Linked DNA regions of Elephas maximus indicus. The protein of the gene in region 1 interacts with the protein of each later gene in a pairwise test. Links are inferred from orthologs where the notes say so. Each region holds a gene or a part of one and is shown on either strand. Other genes may lie near its edges.

The links. The genes of interacting proteins can lie anywhere in the genome.
Region 2: the proteins of MAGED1 (region 1) and RBFOX1 interact in a two-hybrid assay, tested with the Homo sapiens proteins (2 studies listed by BioGRID and IntAct). The link is inferred for Elephas maximus indicus from reciprocal best matches to the Homo sapiens genes MAGED1 and RBFOX1.
Region 3: the proteins of MAGED1 (region 1) and KPNA2 interact in binary tests that used the Homo sapiens proteins (3 or more experiments, as listed by UniProt). The two-hybrid records come from large-scale screens. The link is inferred for Elephas maximus indicus from reciprocal best matches to the Homo sapiens genes MAGED1 and KPNA2.

The regions. Positions count from the first base shown.
Region 1 is NC_064846.1:116,594,285-116,601,679, reverse strand, and holds the start of MAGED1 (melanoma-associated antigen D1), read left to right. Parts: upstream 1-4,379; 5' UTR 4,380-4,529; intron 4,530-5,031; 5' UTR 5,032-5,060; coding exon 5,061-5,105; intron 5,106-5,720; coding exon 5,721-6,428; intron 6,429-7,038; coding exon 7,039-7,395. UniProt on the Homo sapiens protein: Involved in the apoptotic response after nerve growth factor (NGF) binding in neuronal cells. Inhibits cell cycle progression, and facilitates NGFR-mediated apoptosis. May act as a regulator of the function of DLX family members.
Region 2 is NC_064830.1:65,287,676-65,294,721, reverse strand, and holds the start of RBFOX1 (RNA binding protein fox-1 homolog 1), read right to left. Parts: upstream 3,010-7,046; 5' UTR 3,004-3,009; coding exon 2,956-3,003; intron 1-2,955. UniProt on the Homo sapiens protein: RNA-binding protein that regulates alternative splicing events by binding to 5'-UGCAUGU-3' elements. Regulates alternative splicing of tissue-specific exons and of differentially spliced exons during erythropoiesis.
Region 3 is NC_064837.1:55,934,861-55,941,696, reverse strand, and holds the start of KPNA2 (importin subunit alpha-1), read left to right. Parts: upstream 1-3,827; 5' UTR 3,828-3,941; intron 3,942-5,309; 5' UTR 5,310-5,332; coding exon 5,333-5,407; intron 5,408-5,554; coding exon 5,555-5,692; intron 5,693-6,836.

The DNA.
Region 1 (7,395 bases):
AATGACAAAATTAGAGAAATGGAGGACAAATTAGTGGCTATCAGGGGTTAGGGACTGTGGTGGGTGAAGGGAGGTAGGTGTTTCTATAAAGAGGTAGCACAAGGGAGATCTGTGTGGTGATGAAATAGTTCTGTATTTTGATTACTGTGGTGATTGTAGAAATCTACACATCTGTTAAAGTGACATAGGACTGTACAAACACATTCTACCAATGTCAGTTTCCTGGTTTTGATGTGCTATAGTCATAAATATAACCACTGGAGGAAGCTGACTGAAGGTTACACAGGACCGCTCTGTAATATCTTTGCAACTTCCTGTATATCTACAATTATTTCAAAATAAAACACTTTTAAAAATCTTAAAAATCAGTAGAATTAGTAAAATAATTTGCTAAGAGCAGGTGGGTACCAACTCTACTTCAAAAGCCATGTCAAAAGAGCTATCTGGTTGGACACCACTGCTGCCGTCACTGCACCCTGGACACTAGGGGCTGCCCTTGGCCCTGCTATTAATGCTGCCCCTAAAACCTGGATTTGCTTGTGGCTGCTTCTACTACCACACAACTATGACAATAAATTACCTGTCTTTGCATCTTTGAATCATTCCTTCCAGATAAAGTGTTAGCTGGAGTTATGCAGTAAAGTTTTGACATATCAGATCCAGGGTGTTCAAATCCCATGCATTCTGAAGAAAGGTCTGGCCTTTGACCAGCTTCTGGGAGGCAATGTCTAAACCCTTGAAATAGCCTGCCTGATGAGTGTCTTTGTTCACCTGGGGTCTTGGGCCATGGCAGATAGTTTATTCCAGCAATGTAATTTATGGAGGGGACTTTCAGCCAGGCAATATCAGTTTGACCTCTGGAGGGGCTGGAGACTGAGTAATTAAGGTCAGCCACATGGGCACCCCATGCCTATATGACCGATCCCCAGTAGAAACCCTGGAGACCAAGGATCAGATGAGCTTTAGTAGTTGACGAAACTCCATTAAGTATTGTCACACATCATTGCTGGGAAAATTAAGTGCTATCCATACAACTCCACTGGGAAAGGACAACTGGAAGCTTATGCCTTGTCTCTGGACTCTCCCCTATGGGCCTTTTACCTTTGCTGATTTTAATCTGTATCCTTTCACTGTAATAAACCATAACCATGAGTTTAACAGATTTTTTAGTTCCTTGAGTCCTTCTATTGAATCATTGAACATAAGCGTGGTCCTGGGGGCCCCTGATGTACTGGTAAATCCTAGATCACATTTTCTTAGTTGCCAAGGGAATATGAAGAAACGACTATCTGGGTTTTGCAGTTGGAGCTATTGTGTAGTATAGAGTACATGCTGTATTACCTTACTAAAATGTGAAAAAAAAAACTTTGTAATAGAGATGACCCCAGGGGTTTTCGATAAGTACCTGTAGGTCTGTATAAAGACCTCCTACAAATCAATAAGATAAAGACAGGCAACCCAAAAGAAAAATGGTCAAAAGATTTGCACAGGCACTTTACAAAAGAAATACGGTAGGTTCATTAATATATGGAAATGTGTTTCAACACATTACTTATCAGAAATGTAATTAAAACACAAGGAGATACCAATACATACACATCAAATTGGCAAAAAATTGGCAAATTCTCACAATACCAAGCACTGAACAGTTTAATACTTTGTGGTACATCCACATCATGGAATATTATGCATCAATTTAATGGATCAAAAGTAGACTGGGGATTAGTAAGATAAATCAGATGCATAAAGTGTATATAATATGATCTTAATATTTGTAAAACAAAAAAATTACTTTTGAGCATGAATGGATATAAAATTGCTTGTTAAAATGCATGTTTGAAAAGGAGGATGAGAATGATTGCACAACTCAAAGAATGTATCAGAGTCACTGAATTGCACATGTAGAAAATGTTGAATTGATGTATGTTTTGCTGTACATACTCTCAACAGAACAACAAAATAAATTTTAAGAAATGCATGACTGGCAGGTAATGGTAGAGATGAAAGACAAGTGTAGGAGGCAATAAACAAAAGAAGGCAATTTAAAATATTCATAGCCTGTATAATGCCATTTATGTAAGAATATATAGACATGCATGTATAGATATGTATACATATAGTGACGTATGAAAGGGTTGCATAAAAATCTTAATAGCAGTTATCTCAAGGTGGTGAAATTTGGAGTGATGTTTACTCAATTTCTAAGATATTTAGGTAATGTTCAAATTTTTAATGATGACCACCCATTATTTATATAATGAGGAAAGAATAAGTGAATTTATACAGAAAAGAAAAAAGAATGTCTCTCAGATTTCTTGCTTGAACAAGTTGGATGGTGGGATTCACTGACTGAGCATGTAAATATGCCAGGTATCCTTCTAGGAGCTGGGGATGCAACAATGAATGAAACAAACAAAAATCCATCTCCCTAAAGGGCTTACATTCTGATGGGGAGAGAAAGAGATGAACAGAAGAGAAGCACACAGTGTTGGTGGGGAGGGGGCTATATACAAAGGAATCAGTTTGGGACATGCCAATTTTGAGGATACCAAGAAATATCCAATAGAAGGAGTAAGGTAGGCAGTTGAATTACGAATGTAGAATTCATAGGCCAAGTCAGGAGTGGATACAGATTTGGAGGCAGAAAACATATAAAATGGTGTTTCAAACCCCTTTTTCTGAGTCTGATCACGTCCCACTGCAGACACTTTACAGAGGAAGTGCTGAAGAAAAACAGGCAGCTGACAGAGGAGGTTGCTATGCAACAGATGAGGAAAGTCATCCAACCAGGCAGAATTGATATTGGCCCTTGGGGATCAAATGTTGCTGTCCTTCCGAGCATTAGTTTCCTTTCATATGCAGGCATCTGGCAGGAATTCATGCCAGAACAAATGTGAAAAACAAAGATCTGGCTTGGATTTTGGGAAGGTGTTTAATTTGAGTTACATCACATCTGTCTATTATTTCTGCCTTTTTGAGTTTCTCTGTCATCCAGGAAGCACAGCGGCATGTGTGTTCTTGTGTCTCCCATTTCTACATATTTAGAAACTGGGGTTCAGAGAGGTTGAGTGACCTGAGCGGCCTCACACAGCCAGTGACAGACAGGCACAGCACTTCATCCCAGGAATTTTGAAGCCCAGCCCAGCTTCATTCCATGAGACCAGAGCTGCCCCAGGCCCCAGCCCTGGAAGGAACCAGAACAAACATTTACTCTGAACCAGGGTTTACACTAGGTTAGGGTTTCCCATGGCTCAGACGCACAAGGGCCTGATTGTCCTGGCTGCTCCAGTGAGCACCAGGGAGGCCTCTGGGACAATGTGTTCATGCCACTCACAACTAAGAGACCTGACAGTGGAGCTATTCCCTTGGAGCAATTCCCACATCTGAATGGACCCACATAGAGCAGTCAGGGGGCGGGGCTGGGTTCTCTACCTGAATTTTCCTGAAGGCAGAGCATGAGCTTGGACCACCAGGAACACAAAGCTTGGCTTTTTGGGACAGATATTGGGGGCTGTCACCCCCAACCAGCGGCACATGGCGTTGGAGTCTGAAAGACCCAGGCACAAATTTTGTGTTTACTGTGGCCTTGTGTAGTTCATTCACCTTGTCTGTAGCTCAACTTCCTTATCTGTAAAATTGGGATGCTGACATCCACCACCTAGGGCAGCTGCGAGAGGAAAACAAGCCCCCGGACAGATCCTGCTGTGTTGTACAAGCTTGCCCCTCCCTCGCCCCTACACACACACACACACACACACACACACACGCGCGCGCGCGCGCGCACACACACACACACAATCCAGCTGGGGCTGCGCAAAATGGCAGGGAAGAAACTAATGTTCTACATTAGTCTGGGAGCTAGTAAGGAAGCCATGTAGAGTCACGTGGCAGGCACAGATAACTGCTTCCCCCAGTAGTGTATCCTTTCTGGCCATTCCTTTTTCTGGGTCTAGCACTTGTCGCAATTAGAGACCTCACATAGAAGAGACCTCATCAATAGTAACCTAAGGAGCGCCGGGCAAGGGGGTGGAGATTCACGCGGACCTGAGAGGAGGAGCCTTGAGAGGGGTGGGATAGAACACAGACGCATTGCGGAAAAGGTAGGGGGTTGGTGTGTGGGGCAAGGGGTGGGGCCAAGAGGCACTGCGCATCTGCTGAGGGATGGGATGTAGCGTAAAGGGAGGGATCGTTGTATACTGTCGATCTGGTTGGTGGTGGAGTGGTGTGTTGGCAAAGGGGCGGGACTGCCTTCCAGTGCACATGCGCATCTTGATTTTCAGGATGAAGCTTTTGTTGGAAAAGCGGGCGGGACTCTAGTTGGTTGTTCAGCGTTTGCGCATGCGCACAACGACCTGAGGCGGTGGGTGGTATATTAGGCCAAGAGGCGGGGTCGCCCAAGCTGCCGCGCTGGCATTTTCTCCTGGACAGGGAGAGGGTGCGGCTGCTGAGAGCCGAGCACTGCAATCCAGATCCTCTGAGTCTTGAAGAAGGGAGACAACGAGGGGGTTGGGGTTGGGGCCTGAGGCAAGGTGAGAATTAGCCCCCAGACAGGGCATCTGCCCCCTGGTGCGGGCCCCCATTTTTTTTTATCATCTTATCCCGGATTCTGAACCCCTTCCTCAAACCTCGATTCACATTCCCCACCCCATCCTCCCTGACTCAGAAGCCCTGTTCGCTATCTGAACCCCTGTCCAGTCCCTCCCATCGCTCGAAATCTCCACAGATTTCTCGACCTCGATCTCTACTGTAACACGATTCCCTCTAATTCGAAACCTCCATTCAACTTCCCAAATCCCGATGTGATCCCGAATTCAAAACGCTCATCTGCAACCGGAATCCCTTCAGTAGTTTCTCGGGATTTCCATCTGGACACTCAGTTCACTTTTCCCGCCCGGATCTGGCCGGTTCCCCTCATATTCGGCACTTCATCCGCCCCCGTAATCAAACCACAGACCCTTTCCCTCAATTCGGACCTTCCTATTTGCCGTCTCCAGTTTAACCCCCAGCTCCTCCCCCACAACCCCCCCCCAGGCTCCACTCTTGCCAGAGGGACTGGAGCCATGGCTCAGAAAATGGACTGTGGTGCAGGCCTCCTCGGCTTCCAGGTGAGATTTCAGCTCCCTAACCCACCATTTCCCCAGCCGCCAGTTCTCCCTGGGCCCCTTTGGCCACCCAAATGCCTGAATCTGATTTTGCCCTCTTTGTGCCTAGACTCTGTTGACTTTCAAATTCTTATCGGTTATTGGGGGGGGGGGGCGTTCCTTTTCAGCCATCAGTCCCTGCTCAGAGAAAGGGGAGACCCTGTTAATAGTCAGGGCAGTCTGCCCAGAGACTGCAGGTTGGATGAGGAACCATTTTTTTCTGGAGTCCTGATGCTTGTAGAGCAGTCTGCCTCCGCCTCCCCCAAGACCGTCCTCCACCTCCACCACCCCTGTCTCCTGCATTCCCCACTCCCTGCGACCCTTCCTTATTCTCCTCAACTCACTCTACCTCCGACCCTGAAGTCCTACTGTAGGCTTCACCCTCATTCTCACTCCGCCCCTACCACCACCACTTTTGTTGTGGTTCTGCTCCTGTCAGGCCCCCTAGGTCTCCACCTCAGCCCTCCTCCTTTTGCACCAGCTGGCCACCTGCACCTCCCCTGTCTGCTCCTCCCACCCTCCCACTCCTCCTTCAGAGGCCCAGAGATTTAATCCCCTCCCCCCACCCCGTATTTACAGACTGAAGCCTCTATGGAAGACAGTGCCTTGCTTATGCAGACCCTTATGGAGGCGATCCAGATTTCGGAGGCTCCACCTACCAACCAGGCCACAGCAGCTGTCAGCAGGCTGAATGCAAGCCCCTCGAGTTCACAACCTCCGTCTGCCAAGGAGATGACTGACATTCATGTTGTAGCAGCTGCCACTAGGCCTAAAACAGCCCTTAAGGCCCAGAATGCCACCACAAAAGGCCCAAATGGTGCCTATGATTTCTCTCAGGCTGTTAATGCCAAGGAAATGCCCAACACCCAACCTAAGGCAAGCTTTAAGCCCCAGAATGCCACCACAAAGGGCCCAAATGTTGCCTATGATTTTTCCCAGGCAGCAACCACCAACAAATCCGAGATGGGTTTTAAAGCCCAGAATGCCACTACCACGGTGGGTCCAAATGCCACCTACAATTTCTCTCAGTCTCCCAATGCCAGTGAGATGACCAACTCCCAAACTAGGACAGCCTTCAAGGATTGGAATGATACCACCAAGGCCTCAACAGCTGATACCCAGACCCAGAATGTTAACCAGGCCAAGATGGCTACTTCCCAAGCTGACATAGAGACCAACCCAGGTATCTCTGAACCTGAGGGTGCAGCTGCACAGGCATCAGCAGATGGTTCCCAGGCTCAGAATCTGGAGTCCCGGACTATAATTCGGGGCAAGAGGACCCGTAAGGTGAGATCCCTGCTAGGTCCACTTTGGTTTGGACTCTCTCCTTTCTTCTTTGTGATTGTTCATTTGTTATAAACAAAAAATGTAATTGCCTGTATTCTGTTAGATTGTAGAGGATATTGAGGTAAATGTGATAGTTTCTTTCCTCAGAGTGTCCACAGACTGATGAGATAAGACAATGCTTACAACATGGATATAATTTTATTTGTGTTTTGATAGTAGCTACCATGTGTTAGGCCTAGAACTAGCCACATTTATACAAATTATCTCAATTAAATCTTGAAGGTAACTCTTTATCAGCTAGGGATTATAGTCCCAGTTTTACAGAGAAGGAAGATGAGTCCCAGAAAGGTGATATGACTTGTCCAGGGTGGTACAAGCAGTGCCAGTGGTGGACACAGGAAGAGGAGAAGCCTCAGGCCCCACCCTTGGGTTGTTCCTGGCCTGATTCGGAGATGAAACTCCTGCCTGGAAGATAGTGAAAGACAAGCCTGGGGCTAGTGGGTCAGGCTGTCACTACAGGTGAGGGTTTAGGAGGCTTTCCCAGAAGTGTTAGGGTGAGGACATAGAACCATCTGGTGACCCCTGACCTTTTTTCTCTCTGATGATGCAGATTAATAACTTGAATGTGGAAGAAAACAGCAGTGGGGATCAGAGGTGGGTCCCACTGACTTCAGGTACTTGGAGGTCTGCACCAGTTCCAGTGACCACTCAGAACCCACCTGGCGCACCACCCAACGTGCTCTGGCAGACGCCATTGGCTTGGCAGAACCCATCAGGCTGGCAGAACCAGACAGCCAGGCAGACCCCATTGGCACATCAGAGCCCCCCAGCTAGGCAGACCCTACCAACCTGGCAGAACCCAGTTGCTTGGCAGAACCCAGTGATCTGGCAGAACCCAGTGATCTGGCAGAACCCAGTGATCTGGCCTAATCCCATTGTTTGGCCTGGCCCAGTTGTCTGGCCAAAC
Region 2 (7,046 bases), on another chromosome or scaffold:
AAAACAGGAGCCATATCAGACTTCATTCCTGGAGACGATGCTGTATTTCAGTGAAGACTCTGGGTACCACCTGATCAGAGTCTGTGCGTGTATAAGACAGGAACAATAAAGCCTTTGAATAAGATGCTTGTGTTTTAATTGTTTTCTTACAATATCAAGATAACACATACTCCTGAAATAGGTGTCTTCCGAAATGTTTCCAGCCAAGGCATCATTTACTGTGACGTGGCCCGATTCACTGGTTCCTCAACTTACTTTGTGAGTATTGATCTGTCCTCTGATCTTCAAAATTAAATAAATCAAAACAAACAAACAAGCAAACCCAAACTCGTTGCTGTCGAGTCGATTTGGACTCATAGCAACGCTGTAGGACAGAGTAGAACTGCCCCATAGGGTTTCCAAGGCTGTAAATCTTTACGGAAACAGACTGCCACATCTTTATCCCACAGAGCTACTGGTGGGTTTGAACCACTGATCTTTCGGTTAAAGACACAAGAATAGTTACAGATAAGGAGCAAAAAACAACAACAAAAGCTGTGTCGTATAGGCCGAAGTCACACGGATTGCATCTGTGCGTAGTCTGTAAAGATTAAAATGAACTACTTCACACTCTTAATCATTCAATTGTCTGGATTGGTAAATTAAAACAATGCCATGGAATTGTCACACAACCTATCATGGCAGTGAGGACCATGAGAGGTGACCCAAAGGTACGTCTCTCCCGCCCTGATGGTGATCCTTTAGGGAGGGTAGGAGGTATGGCTGGAAAACTACATTCTGAGTCAAGCAGACACAAATAAAGACTGCCTCTACTATACTTCAGACACTTAGCAAAACTCAGAGAAAATGCACACACGTGCACACACACACACACATACCCCATTCTGACATCTTGTCATAGCATCATGTTATCAGCACTTTCACGGACAGCATTACAAATCCTTTCAAGAGGAGGCATTCCCAAGCAAAATGCAAAACCCACCCTTTACCCATCTTCATATGGAACCACAATGCTGATCTAGTCACTTCTAAATATTTGTTATGGCTGCCAATGGTTCCTTTGAGCCTTCCCACCACAGAGCAGGGGAGTTTTCACTCCTGGAAGAGCCAGCAGGGCGGATGATGAAAGCCCCTGAGCCTATCCTATATACTTGTCCTTCACATGGCAAAAATAACAACCTCTCCCTCAAAGACACCGCCTGCTTTCCCAAGTTGTGTCTAAATGAGCAAACCGATTTAACAATTTAGGAGGAAGAAGCATTGATTTATTTTTAAAAAAAAGAACAACGCACAAAGAACTGGTCAGAACACTGAATACCTATAGCATTCTGCTTGTTAGGTAATGCTGTTCAAATTGATTAATAAATAACGTAAAAGGAGTGGATGTAGGAGGCACAAGATCAACTCGTATTAATAATTTGATTAAATCCGACCGAGGCTTAGCATCTGTAGAAACACTCATTAGAATGTTCTTCTGGTGGGTAACTGGTGTAAAACACGCACGCATACACACACACGCATGCACACACGCACACAGCAAAGAAATGCTAGCAGCAGATGAGTCATATAATACGTTACCAGTATGCTCTTGGGAAATGTTTCCTGGCACAATTTACTTAATGAGAAATGGAATAAAAAAGATATTTAAAAGGATAAACCAATTTGTTCTCAAGATATTACCAAAAATAATAATAACAGGCTGTTCTCAGACTTGCAACCAAATAATCCTAAGATATATTTTCTGGAGGCAACCAACTTGATAACAAATTACCCAAATGTTCAAAACAATCTTGACATTTTATAAATGCATCTATGCCTATAATCCAGATGGAAATGGAGGGCCTTTAGGGAAGGAGGCACCTCTCAACTCTTGTGAAGGAAGTTGTGTCAACATACAAACACACATGTTAACAAATGGCACTCTGGAAGTGAGTCTGTGGAAAGCAGATAAAATGCCTACAATCCCAATAAACTCTTCGCAGAGCAGGATGGGGAAGGGAGAGGGTTTCCCATTGGAATGACAAACCCTCTGGCCCTGCCAGTTCACAGGCACAGCCACTGACCCCTTGACAGAGAGCAGAAAGCTGTCCCCCCCCCCCCGCCCCCCAAAGGCAATGCTCCGCGGATTCCCAAGCCCAGGCACAGGTACCAGTGCCAGCCCTTCTAGTAAAGTGAGGAAGACAGAGAAAGAGGGGGTCTGAGGGAAACACCCAGAGAAAAATAGACACAGCGGAAGACTGAAATGTAGGGATAGTGCAAAGCCAAACAGACAAACACAACATCCCTCAGTAAGACCTTAATTAAGCGGGGAGTGAAGAGAAGACACAAATGCCTCTACAGTGCCAACAAAGACAGCATCCTAAACCTCTTGCCTTCACCGTACATAGCATTGCCTGTGAGTTTGGAGGCAGATTTTGGGGCTATCAGCATCCAGAAATCTAAACAGCCTGATCCCATAAAGAATCAGCACAGCACAAAACACGACACAGGCAAACTTAAGGCGAAAAAAAAAAAAAACTTAACATACACACACATGCTTACGTAGATGATTTTTCTTCCCCATTAAATCACCTTAATGAAAACTACAGGCACCCGAATGCCTCCACAAAGACTCCAAACTCTTAGCATCAAAGGGTTCTGATTTTCAAATCGCCACTAGACGCACAGACAGAAGAAGGATGCGAATAAGAAAAAAAAAATACAGTTTTCAATTTCAAACTCCGGTACCCAGGCTGGGAGGCAGGCATGCAAAGTATTCAGTGAGATGCAAAACCAGCTCGGCAGGGGGTTTCTGGGCTCCGCAGAGAACGAAGGGCTCAGATCCACCCCTCCAGTGCCAGCGCATAGCCCCCCTCCCCAAGCCCCCTCCAAGGCAGGAAAGCGCAGCCCACGGATGAGGGTACCGAGTCGGTGCAGCCCCCGGGAAGCGGCCACGGAGGCAGAGGCGCGCCTTACCTGCTGTAAGTACATAAAAGTCAAGGCACACGAGAGCTGGGGACACATGCCCACGTTGGGGAGCGCCACGCAGGTGGCCCCCGTCAGAGGGTGCTGCATCGTGTCTCTGTGGTACCCGCCGAGCACAAGTGGGGACGCTCGCATGCAATCACGTTGCTCCCTGCCTGGCCGCTACAATTTTTTTTTTTCCTCTTTTTAATTTTGCTGATTATCTAAGTCAAACGCGGGTGGCTGTCTCTGTCTCTTCTCTCTTTCTCTCTCTCTCTCCCTCCCCCCGCACCCCTCGTGTCCCTCCTCCCTGGCGTTCTTTCTCTTTGGGTTTGCTAGATCCCAGCCTTGTTCTGCCTGAAACTAAGACACTTGAGAGGACCAGGAAACTATTTTGTTTTCCTCCCTGCTGGATCGTTTTCTGGTTTGTTGGGCCTGCTTTTTTTTTTTTTTTTAACCGCCCCCAAAGTGGAAGGTGCCCCCCACCCCACACCCGGTGAAGATGACAGGACCAAGCACAGGCAACTTGGATGGAAGGTAGAGAGGTTTGGATGGATACTCTCCTGTAATGCTGAGTAGGAGGCGGGTAGAGAGAAGGAGGAGGGAGAAAGGAGAGAGAGAAAGAGGGAGAGATGAAAGGGGAGGAGAGAGAAAGAGGGAGAGAGAGATGAAAAGGGGAGGAGAGAGAAAGAGGGAGAGAGATTTTGACTCACAGAGGAGGCTCACTCCTTTGGTGCTGATGCTGCCTGCCTTCTCATTTGTCAAATGGGTCCAGGGGCAGGGTTGTGTTTTTTTTTTTCCCCCTCCTCTCCTTTGCCTTTTTTTTTCCTTAACGACTCACCAAAATTCAAATTGTGTCTGCTAAAAATCTCTGCGGGGCGGGCGAGGAAGCAAGCGAGCGCCCCACATCGCCAGCATCCAGCCTTGAGCTGGACAATTCCTGTGCTCGCCCAGCTGGGACCCAGACTCCTTGCTTTTCCTGGCGGTTGGTTTGCCTGACTCCTCGAATAAACACAGAAATAGGATTTCCTCTCTTAAGAAGCTGGAGGTGTTGAGATCTGGGGAGCCCCGATTAGGGGGAAGCTGGGGCTGGGGGCGCTGGAGGGAGGGCGGTGTCTGTGCCCCAGCAGCAAAGGCAGCTACAAGCCCCGAGGCTTTTTGGGGCGCAGCTTTCGCTGGCTCTCTGCCTCTGCTGGGCAGGCAGCAGTGCGCTCAGCAAACCAACCCCTATCCTAACCGCTGGGGCAAACTGCCTGGGCAGGCGTTGAAATCAAGCCTGTTGGACTAACATGCCAGCTCCTGGGGAAGGCAAGGGGGCTTCTAATCCCAGCTCTTCTCAGATTATGAATGCACAGGCTGGGGGAGGCTTGTGTCTGATAAGAGATTACTCTGTGGGCTGCAGTGGGCAAATTAAAATGGTTTATTTTATTCTTGTCTGGCCAGCCCTCTTTGGCCAAATTAGCATTCTGCTCTTGCAGATGGGTCTCCCCCTCTCCTGTATTTTATGAAGGAATAATTATTCATTAGTAGCTTGTGTTAGTCTTTATGCGATCAAATAGGATGTGATCTGCAAATCAAAAGAAAATATTAAGACTCTAACTTGTCCTTGGTCCCCACTAGTGCACATTCTGGGCACTAGTGAGATTATGATCACTGTATAGTAGCCATATTTTTTTTTATTATATAGATTTTTGACTCAGTGATTGGATTTTCTTTTTATTTCCCGAGCAAGAGGTCAGTTCTCTGAACAGAATCTTTTCGGGTTGCGGGTTTCCCTGCAAAGATGCTTGTTGAAGGCTTGCCAATGTCTGCAGGACATGGTCACACTTTGAGAGGGGATGGGGATTCTCACAAAGGAGCATTTAGGACGTGACCCAGGGGACTGGCCACCAGGGGCTCGCCCCCAGATTCTCTGTGAGGCTCACATAGATGCTCTCAGCCACAAGACCTCTTCTGAACTGAACCATCAGCTCAGAAGTGACAACTCACTTTGAGGCTAATCAAAATCCTTTCTGAAGGAAAGGAAATTAACTATTGCACAGCTCCATTTTTTGGTTGTTGTTTTTGCTGTTTGTTTTGAAAAGCTATCAGTAACTACAAGGTCCTCGTTATGCCAAATACTAGGCCTAAACCAGATTGCTTCTTTTTACTTTTTCATTTGCCAAACCAGTCTGTTCAACCATACTGGGGCTCACGAATCCCGTCAACTGAATAGAGACACAGTAGCTAACCAAAGAGTTGGTACTTCCAACTTACCCAGCAGCTCTGCAGGTGAAAAGACCTGGCAATCGGATCCTGTAAAGATGACAGTCTAGGAAACCCTACAGGGCAGTTCTACTCTGTCACATGGGGTCACTATGAGTCGGAATGGACTTGAAGTCACACAACAACGACAGCCCATTTAGCCCCAGGTAGAAGTTGGCATGGGGGATTAGGAGTGCCTTGGGCATTGTTCTCTGCTACTTTTTTTTTTTTTTTTTTTTTTGTGGGAGCAGACAGTGGTTAGTTTGTAAAAAAATCCTTGCTCTACGTTGACTCTGAAATCCTGTTTAACAGACAAGCTCTGATTTACAAATAAAATGATTCTCTTTCTTGCTTTCATCTTTCTTTCCTTAGTCTCTACCTGCTTTTTTTTTTTTTTGCAATTCACAAAATCAAAAAGAAAGCCACTGAACAAAGCATATACAGAATACAAGGGTCTTTCCTCCCCTTCCTCTCCTTTTCCGGTCCTTTCCTTTTGCCTCAAGCAATCTGCTCTATGACAGGGTTTGCCATGCTTTCCTCCGTTCTGTTTCTTCCCTTGCTTCTTTTCTTGCCAGCACAGGGAAAGCCTGCAAATGCCCCAAGAAGAGGATAGAATTTTCCCTTTAGCTCATTTTCATAAGAAACATGATAAATAATACATGGCACTTTAATAAGACCTTATCTGAATGGTTTAATGAAAAAACAAATACATTATGTAAGGAACCAATAACGGCTCTCAGCTGCACTGAGCCAATAGTGGTCTGCCGGCCCGTTTTCTCCCCAAAGTTTAAAACCTTTTCATGGTGATTGGATTTTTGCAGCCCCATTCTGCAATAACGGCCCAGGCTTCCCTTTAAACTTATCTCTTCACAGCCCAGGCATATTGGAAGTCTGCAAAATGAAACAATGGGATGCAGACCCTCTACCTCCATCTCAAAAGGATTCTCAGCCAGGCTCCATTCTCTGGACGACCAACTCACACATTCTGACACAAGCGCATGCAAACGCGCTCATGCACAGAGGCAAGTACAAACCCTAGACACACGCCAGCCACTTAAAGAAGCAGGCAGGCAAGGTTTTTACACTCGCTAATATCACTGCCCACGGATCAGTAACACAGCATCGAGCGACGCCATGTCAAACTGCACCATACCTGCAACCTCTGCTCCCTGGATGATGAAACTTCGCTCGCCTTTTGACCAGCATCTGGGGATGCTGGATTTGAATTTGATCTCAACAGAGACTGGGAGAGAGCCACATCAATGCCACTGGCTCCTGAATGATGCTTCTACGTCAATAAATGGGAGAAGCGGGGAAAGACATAATCTTGTCTCTTCTGCGAAGAACCCCCGGGCGCTTGGACGTATGTATGTATGTATACACCTCGTACACGTTTGAGGGCCACCCTGCCTGCCTTTCAGGTACAGGGGCCCTTAATTGAATAGGTACTCACACCCTGTAGGAAGCTGAAAGAAAATGTGAAAACCAGCAAGAAACAAGATCACCTTCAAATGGAACTTCCTTATGCAGAAGGCTACCGCTCAAGTTTTAATTTGACTTCCACAATAGTATTTGTAACTTTTTTCTTTCCCTAAACTTGCCAGCTATTTGAAACAATAAAGAAACTACTCTTGATTTCTTTTTTTTTTCCTTCTTTTTTCTTTTTCCTAACCCTGTATTGTAACTTCTTAAGTGTGTCAAAATAGCAGACATTTCACTAAGGATACTTTCTACTATAGTTGTCATACCTCAAAGCAAGAGACTCCAGTTGGACAAAATGAGAGACTTTCTATTGTAAGCGTAATTAATTATCCATACTAGGATTGGCTCAGTGGAAGTGTCAAGGGGTGACTTAGCAA
Region 3 (6,836 bases), on another chromosome or scaffold:
ATGACCACCAGCGTCCGTCCAGTCTCAGACCATTAAGTCTGGTCTTATGAGAATTTGGGGTCTGCATCCCACTGCTCTCCTGCTCCCTCAGGGGTTCTCTGTTGTGTTCCCTGTCAGGGCAGTCATCGGTTGTAGCCAGGCACCATCTAGTTCTTCTGGTCTCAGGATGATGTAGTTTCTGGTTCATGTGGCCCTTTCTGTCTCTTGGGCTCGTAATCACCTTGTGTCCTTGGTGTTCTTCATTCTCCTTTGATCTAGTACCTTTTTTATATTGGTAGATCTGCCAGAAATGTTCTATTTTGCATTCCCACCAACAGCATATGAAAAGCTATCTATTTCTTCAAATCCCTACTCCCGTCGCGTTGCTGCCAAATCCCTACTACACTAAATGTTATTGGCCACCAAAATGACAAAAACAGTATCTCATTTTTAAAAACTGCTTTTCTTAGTGAAATCTGATATTTTCATTTATTTATAAGTCACTTATATTTCTTCTTCTGTAACCATGCCCATTTTTCTATTGGCATTTTTCTATAAAGTTGTTGGTCATTTTCTTATTGATTAGAAAATTATCTGGTTATTGATTATATGATTATCTGGTTATAAAATATGGATAGAAGCTCTTTTTTGTGTATGTAAGGAGCCATATGTCTTACCAAGCATGCGATCTGCCCAATCTATTGGTGTACGACTTGGCTTAATCTCTTTTATTAAACCTGCACGTACCTACTGTCTGCTAGATAACTTATTCAAGCCCCTGGCTTCAGAGAGCATTTATGCCATCCCAAATTTAAATTTCCTGACAGCATCTTTTGAGACTGAGGCCTGTATAGTCAAGTTTCTACTCAAGCATTCACTCATCTACAAATATTTATTGTGCAACTTCATGTGCTAGACACTGTTAAGGGTGTTGACAATTCAGTAGTGAACAAAATAGATAAAAACCCTTGTCCTCATGGAGCTTACACTATAGTGCTAGTGTAGGTTAAGAATCCTAGTGTCAGTTAAGAATCTTTTGGATGCAAGTGACACAGCACTCAAATTGGCTCAGCACAAAGGGGAATTTATCAAATGATGTAACCAGAGAGCCCCTGGGCAGAACCAGCTTCAGGCTTGGAATGATTCAGGCAATATTGCCACGATCCACCTCTTGGATTTGCACCTCTGGCTCCTGTCATCCCAGCACACTTCCGGTGGAAGAAAAAGGACTTCTCTCTCTTGGCAGCCTTAGTATAAGTGTTGTTGCACCATGCCACATCTTCATCCCTAACCAATCCCTGTGTCTGGGAAATGGGACGTGCTGATTGGCTTAGGACAGACAGGCTCCTTTTCTGAATCTGGAGCTGCAGGCAGCACATCCAAACTTCAGTGGCTGGGGAGGGGGGAGACTCATGGTTCCCTGAGGCAACATTGTATCTTTCAAAGGCATCCTTCACTTTTTTTTTTTTAATTTTTATTGAGCTTCAAGTGAATGTTTACAAATCAAGTCAGTCCGTCACATATAAGTTTATATACACCTTACTCCATACTCCCACTTGCCCTCCCCCTAATGAGTCAGCCCTTCCAGTCTCTCCTTTTGTGACACTTTTGCCAGCTTCCAACCCTCTCTACCCTCCCGTCCCCCCTCCAGGCAGGAGATGCCAACACAGTCCCAAGTGTCCACCTGCATCCTTCACTTTCGATGTGTATCTGCTTTCAGGTGCAAGTATGGAAGTGGTTGAGAGCATGGGTCCTGGAAGCAGACTTCCTGGGTCTGAGTCTTGTCTCTGTCATTTACTGGCTGTGTGACCCTGGATAAGATTCTTAACCGCTAGTGATTTAGTCTTATGTGAAACGTTACAGACAACCTTGCAGAGTTGTGGATATGAAATGTGTTCATGTGTATAAACATGTCGAACACCTCCAGGCACATAAAACGATTATTTTCAAGCAACAGAAAACCCAATTTAACTAGCTTAAACAATAATGAAAATGTATCCGATCAAATTATTGCAAAGTCATTTAATTGCAGCCTTCAGAGGTAGGGCAGGCTTTTGATCAGAGCTCTGGTTTGGCATCTCTACAGTTTTCTTATTCAGATTTCTAGGGCTCACATCCTCTGCTCAGAACAGAGCAAGCTTTCCAACCTTCAGCCATCAAACAAAAGGCATAGGCTTCCCAACAGGGGGAACTTAGGTCACGTGCACACAACTGAACCTTTGCAGCAGCCAAGAGAATGCTCTGCAGTCATTGGTTTAGGCATGAATTCCTTCCATGTTCTTGAACCTAGGGGGTGGGGGTTATGCTGATTGGGTAGTTTGTGAGTAGGAACAATCCCTGTGGGTACTGCAAAATGAATGAGACTGGCATGGATGCAAGAATGGACAAAGTTCACAGTTTGAATTTATTTGTAGTGAAAAAGAAAATATAAATTTTCTAAAATTAACTTTTTTTAGAATACAGAAAAATTGCAGAGAGAAAACAAAAATGGCCCACAATACCATCGTTGAATTTTTTTTTTTTAAAGTACACGGCAAGAAAACGCAAACATTTATACGGAAATGTATAAAATACAACATAGAACGTTACTGGAACAATTGGCAACACTAACGCTGGAAAATGGACTGTATATTTAAAAAGTAGCATCAAAATCAATTTCCTGAACTTGAATGCAGTGTGGTTATATAGGAGAATGTTATTCTTAGGAGACACACGCTGAAGTATTTAAGGGTAAAAACCTAAAACAAAACCCGTTGCCGTCGAGTTGATTTCCTCGAATGGTGCAAAAAATAATATGTAAAAATCATACATATACATACACATAGTGTGTATATGTATACTAATATATATAACTGCATGACTATAACAGATAAACAGCAAAAGTAGCAAAATGTTAACATTTGGTAAGATGGGTAAAAATTTGCAATTATGTATTTTAAGTTATTTAAAAATAAATGGTTTGAGAATGCGTGTGTGGAGAAACAAGCATAATCTTTTTTATTTGTGGCTTCTTACACAGTCTTTTGGAGCCCTGGTGGCGCAGTGGTTAAGAGCTACAGCTGTTAATCAAAAGGTCTGCAGTTCCAATCCACTAAAAGCTCCTTGGAAACCCTATGGGGCAGTTCTCTTCTGTCCTTTAGGGTCGCTATGCTTCGGAATCGACTGGACGGCAAGGGGGTTTTATGGAGGGGGAGGTGAGGAAGATCTGCGTTGCATTTTTTAGTTTTAAAAAAATTATTACATCATAAAAGTCTATTAAAAAACCGTTGTCGTCGAGTGAATTCCGACGCATAGCGACCCTATAGCCCCGTAGGGTTTCCGAGGAGAGCTGATGGATTCCAACTGCAGTCTTTTTGGTTAGTAGACAAGCTCTTAACCACTGTATCACCAGGCCTCCAATCCCGCCCCCCACCCCCGGTTCCTTTCTGTGTCGTATCTGGGAAAAACAAGTCATAGCAATGTTTTTACATAAAGATGTTTTTCAAAAATGACTTTCAGAATAATTTGAGGTACTTGGCCAAAACAGCCCCCCAGAACACCAACAGCGACTGCACCTACAGGGATGCCTTTCGGAAGCCGAGAGCGGCCCGAGCCTCCGGACACGCTGGGTTGGGAGCCGCCCCTTCGCGCGGCCTGCCGGGATCTGGAGTCCTCCCACTCTGGACCGCAACTGCAAGGCGTTCTGGGATCGCCAGGCCGCTCTCGTCTCGCGATGTTATCTCCCATTCCCCTAAGCTCTATGACCCCCCCCCAAACGTGTTTTTCAAATCCACCAATGGATGCATAGCTTAGGCTCGAACCAGCCAATCGGAATGCGGAGCCACCGGGAAATTTAAATCGCGCCGGCCGGCTGCACGAGCCACACCGTCTCTGGTCTGAGCCGTGTTGGACGACTGTGGAGCAGTCGGCCCGCAGCGTGTGAGCTCCCCGCACCGCCTTCTGTGGAAGCCTAAGGCCGCTCCGTAAGTACGAACTCAGGCCGCAGCCCGACCGCAGCGATAACGGCTGGCCCGCAGGGCGCGCTCTGTTTGGAGGAGGCGGGAGGCGGCCTCAGGGATACGCTGGGGCTGGCTTCGGCCTTCCTCGTTGACAAGGCCTCTGGGGCGTCGTTTGTTGTCGAAGCGGCTTCGTTTCGCGATGCGGGAGCTGGAGCTTTAGGGCTCCGAGGTTCGGCTAACGGCAGCGAAAGCCTTTGTGCGTCGCGGCCAGGAGAGGCAGAATGAGACAGGCCTGAGGGCCAGTGTCGCGGACAGGTCCTGCCTCTCCTCCGCCCTCGCCCGCAGCGTCTTCCCCGGGATGGGGGCCAGGGGCTGGGGCGGGAGGTGGCAGTTGGAGGACCTGTATCTAAAAAAGCAGGCCAAGAGTCGGCAGATTGTCAATCATGTCGTAGACGAAAATAACGGGATTAAAGATAGCAAGCTGTAAGGAGGGTTTTTACTTTTGTCGTCTTTTGGAGATTGCTCCTTAGTATCTGAGCCTGAATGAGGCAGAGCTGATGGCAGCCTAATTCAGTGCGTTCGAACGCGAAATTCTGGAAATTAAAATGCTTGCGAGATGCTTAGGGTGCAGGACTGCGTCGCAGGTTTTCATTGTTGACAGGAAATGATACGGCAGACTCCATAACTTAATGATGAGTCAGATTTTAATTTTCAAATGTGGAAAATGCACTCTTTTTTATGGCCATTTGAAACCAATGAAAGTAGGAAGACTCCTGGAGAGAGCCTCCAGTTGATCTGAATTTATTGCCAGGTGGACGTGGGTCTTAACTGCAAGTTAATTCGGTTCCCCCACTTTGTCTTCACTTAGCTGTTTTGGACCCGCGAGAGTCTAGAGCTGCGATGTCCAGTATGGTTGTTGCCAGCTGCATGTGGCTATTGAACTCTTGAGATGTGCGTAGTCAGAATTGGGGTGTGCTGTAAACATAAATTACACCGTGGATTTCAAAGACTATGTAAAAGAATTAAAAATGTCTCATTTTTTACTATTGGTAACATGTTTAAGTGATGTTTTGGCTTAAATAAGATTAATCTGTTTATCATCGCCTTTTTATAATACAGCTACTAGGAAATTTAAAATTCTGTGGTTTGCTTTGTATTTCTGATGGACAACACTGGTTAAACTCTTAGCTCTTGTCCGCGGGCGGGCGGGCGGGCGGGGGGGGGGGGGGGGTGCGGTTATTGTTTGGCCAAAACGATCTTGTAATGCTGAAAACGTGAAATTCCTTCTCCAGTATAGAAGTGTGGATTCAATATATGCTTGGAAATTTTATTATTGCAAAGGCAAAATGATAAAAGGGAGTTTCTTTTTCTCTCCTCCACCCCCCAATCTAGCTTTCTTCCTTTGTTTCACAACCATGTCCACCAATGAGAATGCTAATTCACCAGCTGCCCGGCTTAACAGATTCAAGAACAAGGGGAAAGACAGTACAGTGAGTACCTTCTGTTGCTTTCTTATGATACTTTTTAATGGGAAGATGTTTGGCAAGGGATCAAAAACTTGAGGGAATTAAAAACGCCCTCACTTGATAATGAAAATTATTAATAAGGTGAAACAATGTTTCTTTTCTTTACTCAAGGAAATGAGGCGGCGCCGAATAGAAGTTAATGTAGAGCTGAGGAAAGCTAAGAAGGATGACCAGATGCTGAAAAGGAGAAATGTCAGCTCTTTTCCTGATGATGCTACTTCTCCACTGCAGGAAAACCGCAACAACCAGGTAAATGTATTTTAGTTCATGAATTATAATAAATCCAGAAGATTAATATGGGTTTTTCTTAGAAACTTAACATTAGTAGCAAATCTGTGAAGATCTTTTTTCTGTAATTAAGGTAATGGAAGGTTACCGAAGTTTTCTTCTCTCCTGCCCACACCCATAATCCAGTGGAGCTGATTTCCAGATCGTTAGCTTCAGGTTTTCCTACGCTTCTAGCTGCTAGCTGGGTCCCTTGACCTGATAATTCCAGTGTTAACTGAAAGTGTGTCTGGAACCACCCACTTTCTGGCTTATTGTTGTTGAATCAGTTCCCACCCATAGCGACCCCATGTGACAGGGTAGAACTGTCCTACAGGGTTTTTGTGGCTATTATCTTTACTGGAGCAGATTGCCAGGCCGTTCTCCTTTGGAACCACTGGATGGATTTGAAGCAACAACCTTTTGGTTAGCAACCAAGCGCTCAACCATTTGTGCCACCAGGGCTTCTGGCTTATTACTGTCACCAGCTTTGTTCAGGCCTTTTTTCCCCTGAAATAGTTATAGTAGCCTCCTAATTTAGCTTCCCCTTTTCATTCCATGCCACATACTAGTGCTGTACTTTTTTCCCTAAAATGCTGATGTAAACATGATCTCTCTCTACTCAAAACCTTGGATAGTTTAAATTCCATACTCCTTCATTTAGCATTGAAGACTTCATTTGAGTTTTCAAATTTATCATGTTCATCTTTTCTTCCAAGACAGTTAACACTTTCCCACCTCTTGGCCTTTTTCACATTGTGCTTTTCTTAGCACTCCACATTTATCGTTTTTTTTTTTTTTTTTTCTTTCATTGAATTATCTATGTGGTATGCTAGTTCTAGAGTACTACACTCCTGTCTTCTCCTCATGGCACTTTCTGGTCAGTCCAACAGGGAAGACTCTCCCTCCTTAGAATTCCTGTAACACTCCGATCCTGCACCAAGGTTAAAGAGTTATCTTTTTTTTTTAATGGTTGTTTCTCTACTTGCCACATTTACTTTGTTTTTAAGCTTCTAGGAAGAAAAGGTCACTGTCTTTTTGAGTTAATCATCACTTTGCTTCTCAACCTTTATACTATGAATCACAATATATGGCGTTTGTATTTGCAGCAGTGTACCATGGAAATTCT